3 linked regions of the Nothobranchius furzeri genome follow. Each later gene encodes a partner of the first gene's protein in a complex. Links are inferred from orthologs where the notes say so. Each region holds a gene or a part of one and is shown in the gene's direction. Other genes may lie near its edges.

Region 1 (6,062 bases):
ATTTCTAAAATAAACAAGAATAAGCAAGTGTTTGTTGTAGACACTAAAATATCCTTTTTTTTTTTTTTTTTAAGACAAACCTGCCAAGACTAATCAGGTGGCCCCATCAAAGTACGTCAAGTGCACATTCTACATTCTATTTGTGCAATAATTCAACAGATCAGAATAGGATTTCTAACTCTGTACTGCTGTGTAAATGCAGAACGCGGTGGTGCCTGGAAAACTTCGATATCGGCCGTCCCTTGGGGAAGGGCAAGTTTGGGAACGTCTACTTGGCGAGGGAGCGTCAGACTAAATTCATCTTGGCCCTGAAGGTGCTCTTCAAGAACCAGCTTGAGAAGGCTGGGGTGGAACACCAGCTGAGGAGAGAGGTGGAGATTCAGTCTCATCTCAGGTGATGTGATGTGAAAATTACAATAAAACACCAATCTAAACTTTATCCTCTGTCTTGAGTTCCTTTAAGACAGTTTCACAGAATTCTCTCCTGCATGGGTTTCATACAGGCATCCGAACATCCTTCGTCTCTATGGCTACTTCCATGATGCGACCCGTGTGTATCTCATCCTTGAGTTTGCACCTAAGGGAGAGCTGTACGGCGAGCTGCAGAAGTGTGGAAGTTTCCCAGAAGACAGGAGTGCAACAGTAAGTTAAAAACACTTCAAACTTCAAACACAGTCAACATTCCACAGGTTTATTGAAGGTGTACTCTTAATTCCACTTACTGTTTTTTCTTTTGTGTTATTAGTACATTATGGAGCTGGCAGATGCTCTCCACTATTGCCACATCAAGAATGTGATCCACAGAGACATCAAACCAGAGAATTTGCTCCTGGGAGGCAACGGGGAGCTGAAGATCGCTGACTTTGGCTGGTCTGTTCACACCCCTTCATCCAGGTACGCAGATGTGTTTAATGCAACTTCTTACTGTGTTTTATGGGCTCTGGTCTGCTGATGTTGAGGATCGTTGTCTGGTTTTTCTTTGTGTGACGATCTTTTCTGTCCTTGCATAATAAAGTCCTATTTTAGAAATGTTTTTACCCCTGCAGAAGGTCCACTCTGTGTGGAACACTTGACTACTTGCCCCCAGAAATGATTGAAGGCAAAACCCATGATGAAAAGGTGGACCTTTGGAGCCTGGGGGTCCTCTGCTATGAGTTCCTAGTTGGACATCCTCCTTTTGAAGCAAAAACTCATGAGGAAACCTACCGCAAGATTTCAAGGGTATGAGACTCAGCTGTTTTTGTTTTGGTGTGTCTAATTTAAAGAAAAATCAAAACATGTATAAATACTCGTTCAATTCAAGTTTATTTATATAGCGCCAAATCACGACAAGAGTCATCTCAAGGCACTTCACATAATAAACATTCCAATCCAGGTCAGTTCATTAAGTCAATATGAAAAAATGTTTCTTATATAAGGAACCCAGCAAATTGCATCAGACTTTACAGCAATCCTAATACTAGGCAAGCATTTAGCGACAGTGGAGAGGAAAACTCCCTTTTAACAGGAAGAAACCTCCAGAGGATCCTGACTCAGTATAAGCAGCCATCCACCACGACTCACTGGGGATCGAGAAGACAGAGCAGACACACACACACACGCACGCACACCAAGTAATGTTTCTATGGTTACATCGTGATTTCTTAGTAAATATTCTATTTGATGAGAGATAAACTTTATTGTATTTATCCTAGTGAATCTATAATTAAATGGGTAAACTAGTTGTAGCACATCCAACGTCAAGGAAAGCAAAAAGTTATTATCAGGAGAGGGAGAATGTTTAAATGGTTAGCAGTAGTGTGCTAGATGATGGCCCCCTCCATGAGGCCACCACAGCTCAGCAGAACATCATTGTTGCTTATTCTGGGGAGAAAAAGAGAAAAAATAAAGTTAACAACTGAAATAGCAGGAAATAATACAGTTAAAGTTGTAGATGAAAGTAGTAGAGTGTGGAAAGTGGTCAGTGTATCCTCCAGCAGTCTAAGCCTATAGCAGCATAACTACAGAGATAACTCTGGATAACCTAGCCTTTTAGATGGAGGCAGGGCAAGGGAGAGCCGTCTTTACCGACCGTACACTCTTGGTCATGATGTCATAATCTGGCATGTTATTGTTACTGTACATTGTGCTAAAGCTGGGTCGAGTTAATTGTGAATCAAATTGAAATTGTACTTTCTGTAAGGAAATCAGTTGGATGTTTTCCTAAAATAGTTTTATTTCTGTTGTGTACAGATCTGCAGACTTAAAGGCCAGGCTCACTGAGAAACAGTTTTTTACTTATTTTAGAAAATGATCAGTGTCCAAGTTTCACGTGTAGCCTAAACATGAAAATAGTTGTCTTCACCTATCTCCTGCATTAGCTTCTGATAGAAAATAGACAGAAAAACCTCTGCTCAGAAAATCTTGACATTCATGGACTCACTCATCTTGACTCGTGGCGGCAAAAGCTGTTTATTTAGTGTCCAGGAAACAGCAGAGAACGTCTCGACTAGCAGAAGCTAACTGTTAGCAATAGCAATTCCGCAGTATGGCAGAACTCCTTCAGACTTGTTATTTTTGGAGGTAAAACATCGGTGTTGCAAAGGAAGTCAGTGGTGAAGTCGCATTGCTGTTATCCAATCAGAGGTATGGTGTTCAAATATCAGGAAATAAAACTCATTCCTGCCATCTGAAGCTACTTTCTCTAACTGGAATTCTCCGTGCTGAAACAGGCGCTCTGGAGCTTTTTTTCTGCAGTCAACAACTTACAACGCATTAATTCCAGCTAGAAATTGCTGCAAATGTATTAAAACTATGAGTAAATATGTACAATTCTGTCCTTATTAAAACTGCTAATTCACAGCTTCTGTTATTTACGATTCTACCTGTCATGATTTCATTCCCTCCTTTAGGTGGAGTACACATATCCTCCACAGACCAGTATCAGTGCTGGAGCCAAAGACTTGGTAGCGAGGCTGCTGAAGCACAATCCCATGCACAGATTGCCCATCCAGGGAGTCCTGTCCCACCCTTGGGTGCTAGAATATTCCACCAAGAAGCCCGTGACTCTGAATGCCGAGGAGACCAGTCAGTGAGGGTTTTCCTGATGGAGTGTACGACAAAGCACCATCGGCTTTGACCTCTGAGCATCAGTTGTAAGCTGATTTGTCAGAATCTGCTTTGATTACTCGACTTTTCCACTTCCTGTTATTTTACAGAATCTTGAGCCACATTGTTTTGTCTGCTTTTACCGTATCCTGAATTATTTCTCTTCTCAACGACATCCTGTTTGTAAATATTTAAAATGTAATAATTATGAAAATCTTTGTGCTTTTTATGAAAGGTTACTTGAAATAAGCAAACAAGACTTTTTTTAAATGTGTTGCTTGAAGTTCAGAAAACCTGAGAGAAGTAGGTTATTTTTTTATTTCTGCACAGATGTGAGACAGCAGAGGGCGCTAGAGAGCTCTAACTTTGAGCATGTTGGTTTCAGTAAAAAATAAAGTTTTCTTTAAAAGGTTTAACTAAATTATCTGTATTGTCTTGTCTTCAACATCTCACATCATTTATTGTAGCTCTAAGTAAATTTTTATCACAAGTGATGGTTCAGATCACATTAGTTGGATTTCTGAAGAAAATGTTTTAATATAAAATTCATTGAGTGACTGCTTCACTTAAAGTAATGGTGTGCATTTTTCCTGGTGATGGGGGCAGTAGATTCCTAAATCATTGCATGAAAGCAGTATTTTTGTGTTGGAGTAAGACATTACCAACGGATGCCCATTAGGGTCAAAAAGCCCTAGAGAATGCAAACTTTGACAAAATAACAAGCACATCAGACTCCCATTCATCACTGGCAACAAGCGAAGAGGTAGATTTGAAAAACATTTATGGATGGAGAACATGTCGTAACCGTTTGTTACAAATCAGTAAATGCATTTTGTCCTCATGGGCTCCCGTAGAAGGAAACATGGCATCTAATATGGTGTCGCCCAGAGACTTAGACCCACTCCCATGACCTGATTTTTATGGTTATGTTACAAAGCTGCCAATATTTTTCACCAACTGGGCATCATTTAATTCATTTTCAACAACATTTTGATGGGTGTTTCCAGAAATTTATGGTAAAAACTACACATTGTCTCTTTAAAACCAGTAAAAAAATATAAAATATACACCAGAAAATCATTAGCCTTAGCCTAGAAATCTAGACCGTCTGTTTAGTTACACTCCCATTATGGGCCTTTCCCACTAGCATCAGCTCTGCATGCTCTGGATAGCACAGAGAGTGTCCACATTAGTATAGCCTGCCTTTTTTGGGGTGCAACTGGACTATTTCAGCCCTTTTCCCGAGGTGGCCTGCTTCAGGCCGACCAGGGCCAGAACACACACTGCTTACTGATAGCCCAGCTCAAATTCATACTTCCCAATAGGGGAAGCCTCCGATTAATCAGCCCAGTGGGTTTACAGCTTAAACCAGTTCATTATAACGCTGAATACCTAGGAGGAAAGTGTCTGACTGCATTCATAAGGAAGGATGTGTGTAATGAACTGGGCTGACTTGGACTTTTCTGTGAGTCACGAGCAGATAAAGGTTCTTATGTCCTTTATTTAATAAAAAAGCATGTGTTAACGTACATGTCACACCCATCTACTTCTGGACCATGGGTCCACAACTGCCCAAATAATGAATGGGGATCTATGAGGGGATGGTATTTTCTTGTGTGCAACAGATTTCTCTTAATATGTCTGTGTATTTTAAAAAAATGTTTTGATGCCAGGAAAGCACTGATGATGATAGGCGGCAGAAGTTATTTTAGGTTTTGTGTGAAAATACTTCATTACCAAATTGATGTAATCAAACATGGAGAAGAGGAGAAAGAAAATAAGTTTAAAGACACAATTGGTAGTTTTGGCTTACTTTGAGCACCCCTAGAGACTATTAATAATTCACTGTCATAAACCCAAAAGTGAAACTCTTCTTTGCGCAATCGTGTTTTTAACACCTTCACCTAACTACTGAAATGTCTCCTTAGCCTTCGTTAGTGTCAGAGCGTTTCATCACTAAAACCAATCAGCTGTGTTCATGATCTAAACTATGTAGGAATCATGTGCTGGAAGCAGACTGCAGCGCTAGCATGTCAGCTCCACTTTACTATTGATTTACAAGGACCGGGATACTCTGAAGTTGCAAGTGTGGTGGAGTCTGAGTGATTTTTCTTTAACCCAGTGTAAAGGGTTATTTTAGCACATATTTGCTCAAAGAAAATGATTTTAAAATATGAAAAATGTACATTGTGTGCCTTTAATAACAATTTTTAAAAGCTATTAAATCTCTAAGTACTTGATGGACATAGTTGAAACACTATTTATTTTCATTTAAATTAAAGTACAACATACATATGATTTGGGGCAAAGCAGATTAGAAAATAACTTTTATAGCCCCATTTACTTGTATTTCATTTATTTATTTATGTAATGGCCAGACTGTATATTCATCCATACATGTTGGCTTGCCTGGCCAGTAAATTGTGGCAAGATAAACAAGTTACTTTTGGGTGTAGTTAACCAACTTGTTCACTAGGGGGCGACCCAGGACAAAACATGACAGAACTGATTTACAGCTCGTAAGCAGAATTGGCAATTTATGTACTTATTGTGTGTGTGTGTGTGTGTGTGTGTGTGTGTGTGTGTGTGTGTGTGTGTGTGTGTGTGTGTGTGTGTTAAATTTGCAATCCAAGATGAAGAAAACAGACCTTTACTGCTGCTTTCTGAAAAAAATGGCATGCAACTGCTGTGTGTGTGTGTGCGTGCGCGTCGTCATGCGCGCGCCTCCTCTATCAGCCTTCGGATGATGCCACTCGGAAATAAACGACTGGAGCAGATGTTGCCTGCACGCGCTGGAAAAACTCAACAGAGTGAACGAACAGGTCGGCCAGAAGGCCTGATGCTGCCTGCAGCAGGAAATCTGTCCAAATGTGCTCAGACGTTGAGTTTCTCTACTTTTTAAAAAGACCAACAGAGAGATGCAATCATACTGTTATTCATTTCCTCTCATTGGCCTGCCGCGATTTAAACTCGAT
Region 2 (7,689 bases), on another chromosome or scaffold:
TGGTCTCATTGAAATGAATGGGATTGCTCAATTTTCAGCTAAATCCTATCACTTTTTTGAACTCTTATAGGTTAACTTCAACCTAGAGACTTCATTCAAGTTTCAACAAACTCACAACACTTTCAGCTATTACTGGTTAAAAAATCTTTTTGATGTCTATTACAGTTTTTCTAAAACACAGGTAGAAGTTGAGGTACGGCTTGAGATTTTCAGAAAAAATCTCAAAAATCATAATGGGCAGAGATAGGAGCAGTGACCCTCCTTTGCTCCATTTCTGGCATTGTCCTGAGAAAACAGTAAGTCCGATTGAAATGAGACGCACGCTGGCTTGCAGCTAACGGATATACCTTCGTTTTGAGCTATAAATCATGAATGTACTCCAAACATTGTGGTCGTACGGTTCATTTGTTTGAGAATATTTAAATAAATAAAAAATGTCTCCCCACTCTAAACTGAAAATTCCACACCGTAACTTTTGACCTTCACGTTTTCTGGAAACAACTCTTTCCAACGCCCAGACCGTTTGGAGTACCGAAACAAATTATATCTCAAAAAGTAGGAATTTCTGTCAGCTTTTCAGAATGGGTTTTGTTTTATCTGTAAGTGTTACCGCTGCCTGATTGGCTGAGAGAGGTCAATCATCTTCTGGCTAAATGGACTTTCACACCCACACATGTGAGACATCAAATCGATCGGCTTGGCCTAAGGAATTCATCCATCCACATATAAATCCATCCATGCTTCTATCCATCCAATAAACCATCTAACATCGATCCAACAATCCATCTGTCATTTCATTCATCCAACCATTCATCCATCCCATATCAAGTCTGCACATGTTTATCTATCAGTTTCAGATACAAGCAAATGTTTTTAAATTCACAGCTCAGCCAATTGTAAAAATGTACCTGTTAAATTATTCTCATTCAAATGCCAGCTGTTTAACATTTCAAATTTTGAGTTTTTTATTCAATGTTCAAAGATTAAAGTTTTCTGCTGTTTGGCATTTTTTGTCCATGCTTCACCTTTATTCTACACTTGCTGGTGATTTTTTGCTTCTAAATCCTTAAATACATTCAGCTCATTTTGACAGTTTAGCTTAGTTTCAGCTTCACTTCAGCTATTCAGCAGCTTCAGCAATCAGTTTCTGAATTTAGCATAGCGCCTTGGGCTTCCTGACAGGGTTGCGGAAGGCGCTTTATAAATAAAGCTTTGATTGATTGATTGATTGATTGAACTGCTAATTTCACAGTTCAGCTAAATGTAAATATTAAACTGTTAAACTAGTCCAACTGAAATAACAGGTGTTTAGACATTTTAGCTGCCCAGTTTTTAAACAATTTTCACAGATTTCAGTTTTCTGCTGTTTAGGATTATTTTTCTCTATTATTCACTTACTTTTTGTGCTTTATTTGGTTGTTGCTGCTTTTTGCTTCTACATCTGTCAATACATTCAGCTCATTTTGACAGTTTTGCTTCAGCTTCAGTTCAGCTGTTCAGCAGCTTCAGCTAACAGTTTCAGCCATCCAGCATTCAAACAGCATCTAGTTTATTAATATGACTGGCTAAATATCTTCTTTTTCTTTCTTTCCCTTTTCTTTTCTAAGCAGTGGAAGCCCATTCCTGGCACTCAGATAAAAAAATATCCCAATTATGACTTTGTATCTCATAATTATATCAGATCAAAGCTGGACCATGTGAGTCATACCCCCTGCAGGATGCCCCATCTGCTCTGAAGAGCAGCTTCAAGCTGATCCATCCTCGCTGTGTGAAGGAGACATAGTAGGTCTTTCCTACCTGCCACTGTTAAAAAAAAATGCATTGAACTTATATAGCGCTTTTCTAGACCCCCAAAGACGCTTTCCACACACTCTCACATTCACACACTGCTAGTGATGGTAAGCTACTTGTAGCCACAGCCGCCCTGGGGAGGTCTGACAGAGGCGAGGCTGCCATTTGGCGCCGTCGGCCCCTCTGACCACCACTAACACAGGCAAGTTGGGTGAAGTGTCTTGCCCAAGGACACAACAGCGGAATACCTCTGGCGGGAGCTGGAATCAAACCCATGACCCTCCGATCATGAGGCAACCCGCTCTACCACCTGAGCTACTGCTGCCCCTGTTAGACTCTATAATGGTCAATACTAATGCGGAACCAATACATCTGTAACATTCCACAACTAATATTATCACCGACATGTGCAATATTACTGCTACTATAGTTATTATGTGAATAACTGGTGCTGATGTCTCTGTGATAGAAAATTACAGGCCTATCTCTACCCTGCCTTTTACATCAAAACTGATTGAGAAAGTCGTTTATCAGCAGCTGGTCTCACATTTAGCTGACTCTGATCTGTTTGAGGTTTTCCAATCAGGGTTCAGGTCTGGCCATAGCACAGAGTCGGCTCTACTGAGGGTCCTAAATGACATCTATCTATCACTACATCAGGGAACATCTGTGGTGCTTCTGTTGTTAGACAGACTGTTGGTCATCTTAAGCCTGCAGGGTCTCCAAATGATGCTGTTCCTCCTCGAGTGTGAAATGGGAGCGTGGTAAGATGGCGCCGGTGTGCATGGCTTGCCGTCTGTCACTACCAGTGTTTTATTTGGTTGTTTTTATTTTATTGACTATTGTAGGAAATGCCAACTCTCTCTTGGTATATGATCGCCTAACCCTACTGGATCTCCGACCTTCTGTCAAAAGCTGGGCAAAATGGAACCAAGCTGGACATAAAACTCTGCCCCCGCTAATATCGGAGATCCCGGCTCACCTGTGCCGTGTTCCAGATCCACCACCCCGGCATAAGTGCCGTCGCCGGGGTCGCCGGGCCGGCTTCCTGGTGAAGATGAAAGCTTCTTTAGGCTATTCTCACAAGCCCTTATTTAGAAAACAAGGAGCGGTGCCAAACATCTGCTTCTCTCGGCGATCGTTGGATCCTGTCTGTGCCTGGCTGGTACCTGTCTTCGGCCTGGATGGGACGTCCCAGCCTCGAAAACCCTGCTCTCCTCGTCCCCGCCGGCGTGGTGTGAATCCGCAAAACCTGCGGCCTCTGTGTCGGGCTTCTATGGCGGCTAGCGACGGGGACCCGCCGCTTACTGCCAGGTTTGGCCTGGTAAATGCTAGGTCGCTAGCGAATAAAACATTTATTTTGAAGGATTTTTTTACATCCCGAGGACTGGATTTTCTCTGTGTCTGCGAGACGTGGCTGAGCGCCGGTGAGTGCAGCATCTTCTCAGATCTTCTACCTGGCGATTGCTGCTATTTTAATGCCCCGCGTTTGTTGGGCCGAGGAGGAGGAATAGCCACTATTTTTAAAAGTCATTTTAGATGTAAACAGCTACCAACCCCGTCGCTTACCAGCTTTGAACTGTCTGTGTTTGAGCTGGGCTGCTCTCACACAGTGTTGTGTGCGGTGGTTTATCGGCCTCCTAAATACAATAAGGACTTTTTGGATGATTTTGCTGATTTTTTGGCTGAATTCATGCCAAAATATGATCGTATTCTTATTGTTGGGGATTTTAATATTCACGTGTGTTGCCCTGATATGCCCATGGCGAGGGGCTTTTTAAACCTTATTGATTCGTTTAATCTGGTGCAATGTGTGGCAGGTCCCACACATGAACGTGGACACACACTTGATCTTGTTTTATCTCATGGCTTCCCTAGTTTTAACATAGAGATTTGTGATGCTGTGTTTTCTGACCACAGTCCTGTGTTGTTTGAAGTTCCTCTTGTATGTGCCTCAGTTAAACCTCGCGCTGTTGCTCAGTGCAGACGTGTTTTTAACTCCTCCACTGCTGAGCACTTTTCAACAGTCTTTAACCAGATTTGTCAGATCCCGGATTTTTTATGCAGCCAGACTGATGATCTGAGCTCTTGGTTTTATTCCACCTGTCGGACTGCTTTGGACACTGTGGCTCCATTAAAAACCAGGCGGCCTAAAACCAAATGTGAGCCCTGGCTGAACGAAATGACCCGAGCTGTCAGACGCGACTGCCGTCGAGCTGAACGCAAATGGAAAAAGGACAAACTACAGGTGTCATTTCAGATGCTGAAGGACTGTTGGCGTCAATATCAAAGAACTGTGAAAGAGGCCAAAAGAAAACACTTTTCGGACATTATTTTGTCTAACTGCCACAACCCGCGAGTGTTATTCAAAACTATTAACTCTGTTCTTAGTGCACCATATGCTGACTCTATTGAGCCCTCATTAGAAGCATGTGAAAATTTGTTACTCTTCTTTATTGAGAAGGTCTCCTCCACAAGGGCTCAAATCTGTCCTTGTGCTCATGACCCCTCAGTCGTTGTTTCCTGCTCTGCTGTCTTTGACAGGTTTGAGCCTGTGACTCTGTCATCTCTACAGGAGACTGTTGGTCATCTTAAGCCTGCAGGGTCTCCAAATGATGCTGTTCCTCCTCGACTTTTAAAAGAGGTGATACCTACAGTTGGTCCTCTGGTTCTTGAGCTGGTAAACCATAGTCTGAGGTCAGGCGTTGTCCCTAAAGATTTTAAACATGCAGTAGTCAAACCCCTGATTAAAAAACCTGCTCTTGATCCGCAGGATCTTGCGAATTACAGGCCTATCTCCAAACTACCGTTTCTTTCTAAAATTCTTGAAAAGGTAGTTCATAGCCAAATATTGGCCTTCCTGGAAAAGCAAAATGTATTAGAGGTTTTCCAATCTGGTTTTAAACCCTTTCACAGCACTGAATCAGCCCTTTTAAAAGTTTTTAATGACATATACTTAGCTACTGATGCTGGGGACTGTGTTGTTCTTGTGCTTTTAGATTTGACAGCTGCTTTTGATACTGTGGATCATGCTGTTTTATTCTCTCGTTTAGAGCACTGGGTGGGCATTAGCGGCACAGCTCTGGAGTGGTTCAGGTCCTATTTGGCGGGGCGAACTTTTTGTGTCAGTCTCGGTGACTATGTGTCGTCCTCCGCTCCGCTCTTGTGTGGTGTCCCGCAGGGCTCAGTTCTAGGCCCCCTCCTCTTCTCTTTGTATCTTCTTCCTCTCGGTTCTATATTGAGAAAGCATGGCATTGCTTTCCACTTGTATGCTGACGACTGTCAGATCTATGTCCCTCTAAAGAAAAAAGGCAGAAACCTCATACAGCCATTACTACAGTGTCTTGACGACATAAAGGCTTGGATGTCTGTGAATTTTTTAAAATTCAATGATAAAAAGACTGAGGTGATGATTTTTGGTAGTCCTACTGAGACACCCAATGTGTTTGTAGATTCCTTGGCCCAGTTTGTTAAACCAACTGTCACCAACTTGGGGGTCAAAGTGGACTGTGATCTGAAGTTTGAACATCAGATTAAGGCGGTGGTAAAATCTGGCTTCTTTCACCTCAGGCAGCTGGCAAAAATAAAGCCAATTCTTTCACGGCAGCACTTTGAGACAGTGATCCACGCCTTTGTAACCACTCGGCTGGATTACTGTAACGCACTCTACATTGGGGTCAGTGCATCATGTATTAGTCAGCTACAGAGAGTGCAAAATGCCGCAGCTCGTCTTTTAACTGGCACTCGAAAGTTTGAGCACATTTCCCCTGTTTTAGCTTCACTTCACTGGCTGCCCATTTCTTTTAGGATTCATTTTAAAATTCTTTTATTTGCTTTTAAAGGTCTTCATGGCCTTGCCCCCTCTTATCTCTCTGATCTGATACAGCCTTACACTCCCTCCCGCTCTCTCAGGTCTGCTGATCAGCTGCTCCTGATTGTACCCAGGACTGAGCGTAAATTTAGAGGAGATCGTGCTTTTGCTGTTGCAGCCCCAAAACTGTGGAACGAACTTCCTTTAGAGATAAGACAGGCCAGTTCCTTATCTGCTTTTAAGGCACTCCTGAAAACACACCTCTTTACCCTGGCTTTTAATACCTTGTGAGATGTTGGTTTCTATTTTTTATTTTATTTTAGCTGTTTTAGGTGATTCAAATGCGGTTTTATCAAGTTTTATCAAGTTTTTATTTTTAATATAGGGCTAGTTTAATTTTATGTATCATGTGTTTTATTTATCTTTGCTGTTTTCTTTCTAGTCAATTGTTTTAATGTACTTTCTGTACAGCACTTTGTTCCTGTGCTGGGTCTTGTAAAGTGCTTTATAAATAAACTGGATTGGATTGGATAGACCTGACGGCAGCCTTTGACACAGTTGACCACGCGATTCTACTGGATTGCTTGGAACGATGGGTTGGGATCAAAGGGTCAGCTCTGGATTGGTTTAGATCGTATCTCCAAAACCGGACATTCTGTGTTAAACTGGGTGATGTTTTTTCTTCTTGGGAGGGGCTCCGCTGGGGGTCCCGCAGGGATCGATCCTTGGTCCTCTTTTGTTTGCCATTTATCTGCTACCTCTGGGGTCAATCTTTCGTAAACTTGGCCTATCATTCCATCTGTATGCTGACGATTGCCAGATTTACTCTCCATTGTGTCAGGAGAAAGGTCACTCTATCCAGTCCTTTGTGTCCTGCATTAATGAGGTGAAGTCTTGGCTAATTGCCAACGTTCTGCATCTGAATGAGGGAAAGACAGAGCTCATTGTTTTTCACCCCAACACCAGGAATGTGGATCGGCATGTTGATCTTTGCACTCTTTCTCCCTACTCAAAACCAGTTGTGACCAGTTTGGGGGTGAAAATTGATGCTGGACTTAAATTTGATGCTCACATCAATTCTGTGATCCGGTCCAGTTTCTTTCACCTGAGACGCCTTGCAAAAATCAAGCCTATGCTGTCAAGAGCCCACCTGGAGCGGGTACTCCATGCTTTTGTAATTTCTAGGCTTGACTACTGCAGCTCTCTATATGCAGGGTTGTGTCAGTCATCACTGCGTCACCTACAGGTTGTGCAGAACAGCGCAGCAAGGTTCCTGACTGGGACCAGGAAACGGGACCACATCAGTCCGGTTCTGGCCTCCCTGCACTGGCTTCCGGTTTGCTATCATTCACACTTAAAACTCCTCGTCTTTGTCTTTAATTTCTTCCAGGGTTGTGCTCCCCCCTATCTGGCAACTCTCCTGAACAGACACTCCCCATCACGCGCTCTGCGCTCCTCTGACCAAGGCCTGCTCGCTGTCCCTCGTTCTAGGTGTCGTACTCGCGGGGACCGGGCTTTCTCAGTCCTAGCACCGTCACTCTGGAACCAGTTGCCACCCTCAGTTAGGCTGTCCCCATCTCTGACAGTCTTTAAGAGTCACCTAAAAACACACCTCCTCCGCTTGGCGTTTCCAGGACATGTTTGATTTTGGCCCTCTTTTATGTTGAATTAATTTCATAGTTTTCATTGGTTCACTCAATCCCTTGTTTTACACATCTGTCCTGTACTAGAATGTTTCATCTTTTTTGTAATTTGTAATCTGTAATTTGAATTGCTTTTATTTTCTGATTTATTCACTATATTTTTCTACTGTTCCATGTTATATACGTACATATATATATATATATATATATATATATATATATATATATATATATATATACACACACACACACACACACACACACATACAGCCATTTTCACCTTAACATGACTTGGGGAACACAGCGGTTGCTTGCATCAAGATAATGAAATGATAATAAGTTTATGATCTCAGTGGCCTTATAGTAGTGTCCACCCTGAGACTGGGAGATCAGGGTTCAGATCCTGGTCTAGTCATACCAAGGACTTTTAAAAAATGGTAGAGG
Region 3 (7,523 bases), on another chromosome or scaffold:
TGGTTCTGGTTTGGAGAGCAGACGGACGGTGTGTGGGGAGGTAACAGAGAGACACAGATTCTGATCTCCATCTGTGGTCAGCCCTGTTCCCTGGGTCAGAGGTCGCACTCGGACAAATACTTTAATTGAATCACTGTCGCCACTGTAACATCAACAGATTATTTTCATAAAAAAATAGGATTCAAATTTTAAGAAAATTGCTAACAGTTTATTAGTTGAATTCATTCCTGATAGTTGCTTATAAAGCTGGTGATTGAAAGTATAAATGCTTCAGAAAAAAATAAAAACATTTGCATGGGAGCATTGCATTAGCTGTTACTAGAAGACACAATTATCATCTACAGTTTAGTTTTATTGCTACTTTTTGCATATTTAGCAGGGACAAAGAGGCCTAAAGGTACCTTACCTTGCAGCAAGGAGGGTTGAATCTCCAAAGCCTGGTAACAAAATGTTCAAACGTTCGTTAAATGACTTTTTGTAACTGACACTAATGAAAAGACAACACATGAATTGATCGCGCATCCTATGGTGCTAAAACTTTAACCCAAGGCAAATATTCAGTAGCTAGCTAAAAAAATAAGTAAGGAAACAACGAATGTCGGTATCAAGTTTAACTGACAGCATATTTGTTGATTAACCGAACATTTCACTACCTTTTCCAGTAGTTTGCATCGTTGTCTACGAAGAATTAATCGTTAAAAATCTATTTATACGTTGTTCACGTCACAGAATCAGAGACGGACGGACAACATTGTTTATGTTGTTCTTTAAAATTGGCGGGCTAGTCGTCTTCCCCAGAAAACTACCCGGTGTTACGCTGAAATGTGTCCGCTGTAAAATAAAAAAATGGAACTGTGTTCCCACCTTATTTCCAATTATTCATTCCCACCAACAACATTAAAATTTTGATGTTGGAGAGGAAAAAAAATATTTACATACGCACTTCATGCAGTAATGATAAATTTCCAAGTTTTTATTATTATTATTATTATTATTATTATTATTATTATTATTATTATTATTATTATTATTATTATTATTATTATTATTATTATTATTAATCATCATCATGCCTGTACAAAATTCAAAATCATGTTTATACACAATAGTACAATGATGTCTTAGTGATCAAAACGACACACAACCATATAGGAAACGAGAAAAAGGGGGATCTGCTTACCTAGAAGTGATAAACCTAAAGGATTTTATTAGTTTAATCGTTTTTGTTAACTTCTTATTGCCCATTTTTAATTTTCTATGGAGGCCAGATAGAGTTTAAGATCAGTTTCTTTAAAATTATCTGGAGAAATTTCCAAGTAACCAAATGTGTAATAGTATGTTTTCACTGCCCAGTTGGACATTTTTCTTTGCTACAAAACAATCGATATGTTTTCCTTTGGCAATTTTTTAAAATGCAATCACTTAAAAGAAGATTGTGCAAAAAATAATAATAAATTCAGCTCACTGGAAGCTGAATTTTAGCATCTGGCCCATGCTGGAACTGGTCTAGGTAAAAAAAATAACTACAACATCCACACTCTTCAAACCTGTACTGGATTATTCTACACTAATAGTGTAAAGGATTTTATCAATATGTTTATCAATAACCCGTTTCCTGTAGTCGAAGAGAAAAAGGAGACAATGAACAGACAAGTCAAACAGTTGTAACTGTGGCACAATGCACAAGGCAAAATGGCCCGAACATCTGGTCACAGTTTATTTATACCAAGAGATAAGAAAGGAATGTAAGTGAGAGAGAGAGAGAGAGAGAGAGAGAGAGGTGTGTGTGTGTGTGTGTGTGTGTGTGTGTGTGTGTGTGTGTGTGTGTGTGTGTGTGTGTGGCTTGTGTGGGTGTGTCTGAATAAGTGGGCATGCAAAGAGGCAGAGAGCAATACATATTACATTCAGTTGATTGAATCAATGGTCAAGAATTAATAAACATACAAATTTCCACAACACATAGTTTGTGATTTGTGAAACCTTTTTCTGAATTGTGATACGTCCAACCAACTTTTTTTGTGATGCAGCACAGTTACAGAACATCCACAACTTAACTCAGATTTGTTTTAAGTTTGCATGTGGGTAAGGTGTCTTCACAATAAAATTGTCTTAATTAAAAACAAGAACAAATATCCACCCTCAAACTTGTGTTGAATCATGTTCCAGATAACTTCAGAGAATTGAACATCTCCCCAGTTCTGAGTTTCATGAGAAGCAACAAATAAATTCAGTTGTCACAAACCTTAACATTCCAAAAGACATACAAAACAACTTTTTGTTGCAGTTATCTTTCAGTCACTCAAATTTTCTTACCTCTCTCCTCCATCTCACCATGCTCTATGTTTTCCAATGCCTCGCTTGGGTCAATGCATTGACCTTTTCTTGTGCTTTAATTGATGCCTGTGTTACATAAAACTGTTAATTAGAAAAAACTTCTCCCAGATTTAATGTGCTTTTAAATACCATGTATTCACATAATTCAAGTGTAATTTCCAATGAAATTTTTTTATTTCAGACTCTAGTTTTTGAGCTAGTCCAGTTCCAGTGTGGACCAGATGCTAAAAAGTTTTCACAAATCACAAACTATATTTTATGCAGTCTGCTGGTAGTGTATAATAATAATAATAATAATAATAATAATCCAGTACAGGTTTGAAGAGTGTGGGTGTTGTAGTTTTTGAGCAGATGGTCAGAGTAGAGAAAAACTAGGTGTAATTGCCCTTTAGCCATGTCACGAATAGCATCTAACTTCAGCCTTGTCACAAGGAGCAGATGCTGGAATAAAGTTGAACAAGGCAACAATTACTCATCATTTATGGAATAAAAAAAGTCAGGCTGCTTTTTAAAGCTAGTTATTTTCTTCATTTCAACTTTGTTCATAATTTGATAGGTTATAATGGACATGTTTCTATTTCGCTTGTAAGCAAAAACAAAAATGAAAATTATTTATTTTCTACTGTGAAGATAAATAAAAAAAATACTTGCAGGTGTGTTTGTTTGTTAAATTAATATTTTTGTACAAAAGTGTCATGGAATATAGTAAGACGAACATTTTGATGACTTCATTAAAAGAAGAGAAATACTTTTTTAAAAGCCATATTATTTGACTAAAATGTTATAAATGTAAATGCCTAAACGCTCTCTTTTGGCTGAGATGACAGTTGCGTCATATCCGCTGTAACTTCTCATTGGCTGTTTAACGCGGAAGCGCCGTTTGTTTAAATTCGACTGTTAAATTCCAAACGGCTGTCTCACAGACGCTGGCGAGGGCTTTTCAAAAGAATTTCTGCTTTGCTCGGTTCAGTGGAAAACTTTAGCGAGAAACGGTGCAATTTCAGACAAGAATAAGTGAGTTGCAGGTAAGTAGTCCCACAGACACACGGGTAGTGCGAATGTTCTCTTTTTGGATCTTTTCCGTGTTTAAAAGTGAAGTTGAGCTTTTGTTTTCCGTCTCTGACCGTTAGCTTACCGATTGCTAACTATGCTAAACACTGGGCTCTTTCCCCTAAATTTAGCAAATAAATAATATTTATATGGCACATTTCAAGATTAGAATTACGACGTGCTTTACAATTAAACAAACAAAATAACAATGTAGGCTATAAAAACGAAGTTTATTAAATAATGGTCACGATTGGGTGCCGATTTTTGATTTAGCGCTGTAGGTAACCGTTCATAAAATAGTCTACTGGTTAACTTTTACACCAAGTAAGAACTTTATGATTAAATTGTTCTCTCTGTATAGAAATGATTTTTCTTCTACTTCTTCTGTTGAGCCACAACGCAGTTTGTCATCTCATATTCGTTGTGTGTGTGTGTGTGTGAGAGAGAGAGAATCATACTGGTGGTTTATATGGTATAATTGGGGAAAAGTCTGGAGGAAAACAAATTTTGAGTTTATTCCTAACTTTCCTCATGGATTGAAAATTTGACAAAATTTGCCCAGGATATGAAAAGTAGATTAAACACCTTTTTGAATTTCCATAAACCTATGTGTTTTCTACAGAGACTGTAGGAGAGTTTTTTTTCTGATTAACATTTTTGACTACAGATTAATGTGATCATCAGTGCCATCTTGTGGTCTTGTTGTGCCACTGCTTTGTTTTCAGCTGCAGTTGATTAGTTTTCAACTAAAAGTTGCCCTGATTGGGGCAAAATCTAAATATTAGACAACTTTCTGACAAAATATTTAGTTATATTAACCAAAAAAATGAAAATATGTACCACAGATTTACTGACCTCAGTCCACAAGTCAGTGGAGTGCAGTCACATGTGCCTCGATTCCTGAACAAATTATGTATTTTTTTTTCCCTAAGGTCACATGAATTGCTGAACTGAGTAGAAGTCTTATCAACCGAGGACAGCTTTCAGCATGGCCCCTTCCCACCAGAGTGTAACTAATCTGTCCCTGCCCTGTAATTTTAGTTAGTTTCTCCTCTTTTACAGAATGAGTTCTGTCGACATAAATGATGAGAATTGTGGGGTCATCCCAGCAGGAAAGCACAACGATTCTAGTCTAGATGTATTTGCCCTGGAACAGCCAACCGGGAGGCAATCTATCCTGCGTCAGACGGAGAACCTTCCCAACAGGACTGTGCCAAAAGGGGCAAAGGTGCAAAACCTTTTAGTTCTGACAGATTCAGTCATTTATGTAACTTGATCTGTATTTACTAATTACAATGTTATGTTTAGGTTTGTTTTCAGACACCAAGAAGAGACCCGTTGACTAAAAGAATCCTGTCTCCCAGGAAATCTGTCAACATGTTAAGTGTGGATGAGAATAATAAAGCAACAGTGTCCTTGGATTTGGATAAGCCAGAGTAAATAAGTCATATACTTCCTACATGTTTTTAAGTTTCAATTGCTTGTGCTTTGAAATAACACCAGTTTTTTTTCAGTACTTTAACACAGGAGCAGATTGAGCCACCCCGTCAAGGTAACTCATCCCATATTATTTTTTTACAGCTTGATGTAAACAATCCAACTCAAACTCTTTTAACCCTTTTCACAGAGATGTCATCCTATCCCGACGACAACATGCCGATACAAAGCAAAGGCGGCTACCAGTTGGATTTTGACAATCTTGATGCCATCAATCCATTTCAGAGTTCTAACAAGATGGCCGTGACCCCTGGGAGGCCCGCTGTTGAGACTCTTACAGATGACCCCAAGCCTCAGCAGCACATGTCACCAGAGAATATTCAAAATAAGCCAACTGACATGACACCCGCTCTAGACGACACGCTTCCATTCACGCCATCTGTGGAAAATTCTTATGCAGATGTTTCCACCAACATGAGCTCCACAGACAGCAGTGTGGTCACGGTGACCGTGAAGGTCCCAGTAGAGGAAGGTCCATGCACAGACACGCCTGATGAAAAACAGCCTGCTAGTTTGTCCGATCAAGAGAAGACATCTGGCAGTTTTGTGGAAGATTCTCCACTTCCAGTAAAAGGAGCTTACAACATGGATTTTGACAACCTTGATGAAATTAATCCATTCCAGACTGGAGGCTCTAAAATTCCAAATTCACCTGATTTAGAGAGAAAAGTACCAAACAGTAATCCACCTACAGAAGAAAAGATATCTATGGGCGTGTTTGAAGTTCCTATGGTAGCCCAAGAGTCACCTGCCCAGGATGTGAAGTCCATTTCTACGGTGAACCCAACACCCGCTGATGCAGCCAAGCCTCCAGCAGCTGAGTCCGAGCCTGCGGACCCTCCAGTCAATGAGCACTCCGTCAAACTTGAGTTCTCTTTCGGAGACTGCAGCGAAGTCAAACGAAAGCCACCACCCAAAAGGTTCGGCAAAAGACCTTCTGTTGTAAAACCTAAAGACGAAAAGTCGACTTCTGATGTTAAAGCATCAGCAGAAGCTCCCATGAAGCCTGTGAGTGATGTCACTGATGATCCAGTTCCTAAAGGTTCCTACTCTCTGGACTTGGATGACCCGTACTTCAATCCTTTTGGCGCTAAAGCAAGAATCACGAATTCTCCAAAGGGCAGTGGCCAACCCGCAGTTGTGCTCAAGGAAGCAGACCTTCCCGAGCAAACTGACAAAAAGGAAGATGGGTCTTCCCAGAGGTGAGTAAAACTGAGTTTCTGTCTTTATTTTTCTTCACATTCCAGCATCAAAGTTTTGATCGTAAATGTTTTTGCTCCTTGCAGCTCTGGTGAGAGCTTACCAACAGCTGAGCCCAACCATGAAGATGTAAGCTATTATTCACAGGGTATCTGCGGGTCCTTAAAGTCTTAAATTTGCTTTTCAAAATTTAAGGCCTTAAAAATCCTTAAAAATGACAAATAATCCTTTAATACAGTTTCCAAAGGTCTTAAATTACCAAAGGCCCAATAAACAAGATTCTTTTATTTCGATAAAAATTTCGTGAATTTCTAGTTAGTGTTCAGCATTGTTGTGTATAATGTTCGCGAAGCGGAACCATACACATTCAGTTGGTTGTGAAAGGGAGCTAGTTTTAGATGGGCACATTAGCTGGTTAAGCTAGTGGGAGCTTGCGCCATGGGGACGTTTAATGGTAACTGGATGGCTAATCCCACGTTCGCGATGTGGTTGGCATCGGTTCCAGGCAATAGCTGGAAATTATAGCTTAAATTTAATTCTAAAAATAGCTTAAATTTGGTCAAAGTGGCCTTAAAAAAAGGTCTTAAAAAGTCTTAAATTTGGCTCCCTTAAACCTGCAGACACCCTGTATTCAGTTTAAGTTCCTATTTAGCTCGTGTTTTTCTCACACACAAAAATATCACCCTCCTAACCGTCAGATCGCTGATCACAAGGCTACCTCCGCTCATGACCAGGAAATTCCACTTGAGAGTGACGACCCCGTGCAGAACGCTCCTGAGCCGCCTCAGCCCGATCAGCAGCTACAGATGGACACCGAGTTCAGTGAGGAGTTTGTTCCTGGAACTATGTGTGAGTAAACCTGGAATTCACATCACTTTATTAGTTTGATCTGTGCTTGATTAGTTCGGTCTGATTTACATTACCAGTCGTGGCCGGTGGCTTTGACGGGCAGATCGACTACCTTGAGCAGTTTGGGTCCAGCAGTGTAAGTGCTAACGACGCGTACGGTAACCGGATATTTTGATAGTTAGTTCATGACCTAAAGGTATTTAAATGTTTTCTTTTCAATCTACAGTTTAAGGAGTCTGCCCTTCGAAAGCAATCTTTGTACCTAAAATTTGATCCCCTCCTGAGGGAGAGCCCCAAAAAGTCTGCAGGCCCGTCCGCTCAGACGCACGTCGCTGTTCCCGCGGCCTTGGCCTCACAGTAATAACACACTTCTGTTTTCATTCACTCTGACTGCTGCTGTCCCTGAATGCTTCAGCAGATCCTTTTTGTTTGAAATATTAAAAAAAACATCACTTAAGGTTTTGTTTTCTTCAGGCTTCAGATTCCTCAGGTTACAGAGAAAGAAACAACTAAAGCTCCAATAAAGGACAGCCTCAAGCTGTTTGAGGACGCAACAGCTCCAGTGAGTCTCTATTCCCGATCAGGATTCGCTG

What was found.
Region 2: the proteins of aurka (region 1) and tpx2 are in contact, whole or in part, in a crystal structure (PDB 3HA6), measured with the Homo sapiens proteins. The link is inferred for Nothobranchius furzeri from reciprocal best matches to the Homo sapiens genes AURKA and TPX2. Residues at the interface, in NP_001310232.1 of Homo sapiens: Lys125, Arg126, Gln127, Trp128, Asp132, Glu152, Gln154, Ser155, Phe157, Leu159, Lys166, Glu170, Gly173, Glu175, Leu178, Arg179, Val182, Glu183, Ile184, Ser186, His187, Leu188, Arg189, Tyr197, Gly198, Tyr199, His201, Val206, Tyr246, Ser249; in NP_036244.2 of Homo sapiens: Gln3, Lys5, Ser6, Ser7, Tyr8, Ser9, Tyr10, Asp11, Ala12, Pro13, Ser14, Asp15, Phe16, Ile17, Phe19, Ser20, Ile31, Asp32, Trp34, Phe35, Glu36, Lys38, Ala39.
Region 3: the proteins of aurka (region 1) and tacc3 are in contact, whole or in part, in a crystal structure (PDB 5ODT), measured with the Homo sapiens proteins. The link is inferred for Nothobranchius furzeri from reciprocal best matches to the Homo sapiens genes AURKA and TACC3. Residues at the interface, in NP_001310232.1 of Homo sapiens: Leu130, Phe133, Glu134, Ile135, Gly136, Arg137, Tyr148, Leu149, Ala150, Arg151, Ile158, Val163, Arg205, Tyr207; in NP_001428248.1 of Homo sapiens: Glu523, Ser524, Phe525, Arg526, Pro528, Val531, Leu532, Gly533.

The regions. Positions count from the first base shown.
Region 1 is NC_091743.1:61,019,384-61,025,445, forward strand, and holds the end of aurka (aurora kinase A), read left to right. Parts: intron 1-74; coding exon 75-111; intron 112-202; coding exon 203-394; intron 395-503; coding exon 504-642; intron 643-745; coding exon 746-894; intron 895-1,046; coding exon 1,047-1,221; intron 1,222-2,891; coding exon 2,892-3,074; 3' UTR 3,075-3,508; downstream 3,509-6,062. UniProt on the Homo sapiens protein: Mitotic serine/threonine kinase that contributes to the regulation of cell cycle progression.
Region 2 is NC_091755.1:45,546,088-45,553,776, reverse strand, and holds the start of tpx2 (targeting protein for Xklp2), read left to right. Parts: upstream 1-2,989; 5' UTR 2,990-3,218; intron 3,219-7,689. Other genes in the region: rhoaa (rho-related GTP-binding protein RhoA-C), read right to left, coding at 2,774-2,806. UniProt on the Homo sapiens protein: Spindle assembly factor required for normal assembly of mitotic spindles. Required for normal assembly of microtubules during apoptosis. Required for chromatin and/or kinetochore dependent microtubule nucleation.
Region 3 is NC_091758.1:31,355,602-31,363,124, forward strand, and holds the start of tacc3 (transforming acidic coiled-coil-containing protein 3), read left to right. Parts: upstream 1-3,220; 5' UTR 3,221-3,359; intron 3,360-4,446; 5' UTR 4,447-4,447; coding exon 4,448-4,612; intron 4,613-4,692; coding exon 4,693-4,820; intron 4,821-4,898; coding exon 4,899-4,936; intron 4,937-5,011; coding exon 5,012-6,083; intron 6,084-6,167; coding exon 6,168-6,210; intron 6,211-6,779; coding exon 6,780-6,930; intron 6,931-7,007; coding exon 7,008-7,066; intron 7,067-7,156; coding exon 7,157-7,287; intron 7,288-7,404; coding exon 7,405-7,492; intron 7,493-7,523. Other genes in the region: kinesin-like protein KIF15, read right to left, coding at 1-142, 407-437, 654-672. UniProt on the Homo sapiens protein: Plays a role in the microtubule-dependent coupling of the nucleus and the centrosome. Involved in the processes that regulate centrosome-mediated interkinetic nuclear migration (INM) of neural progenitors.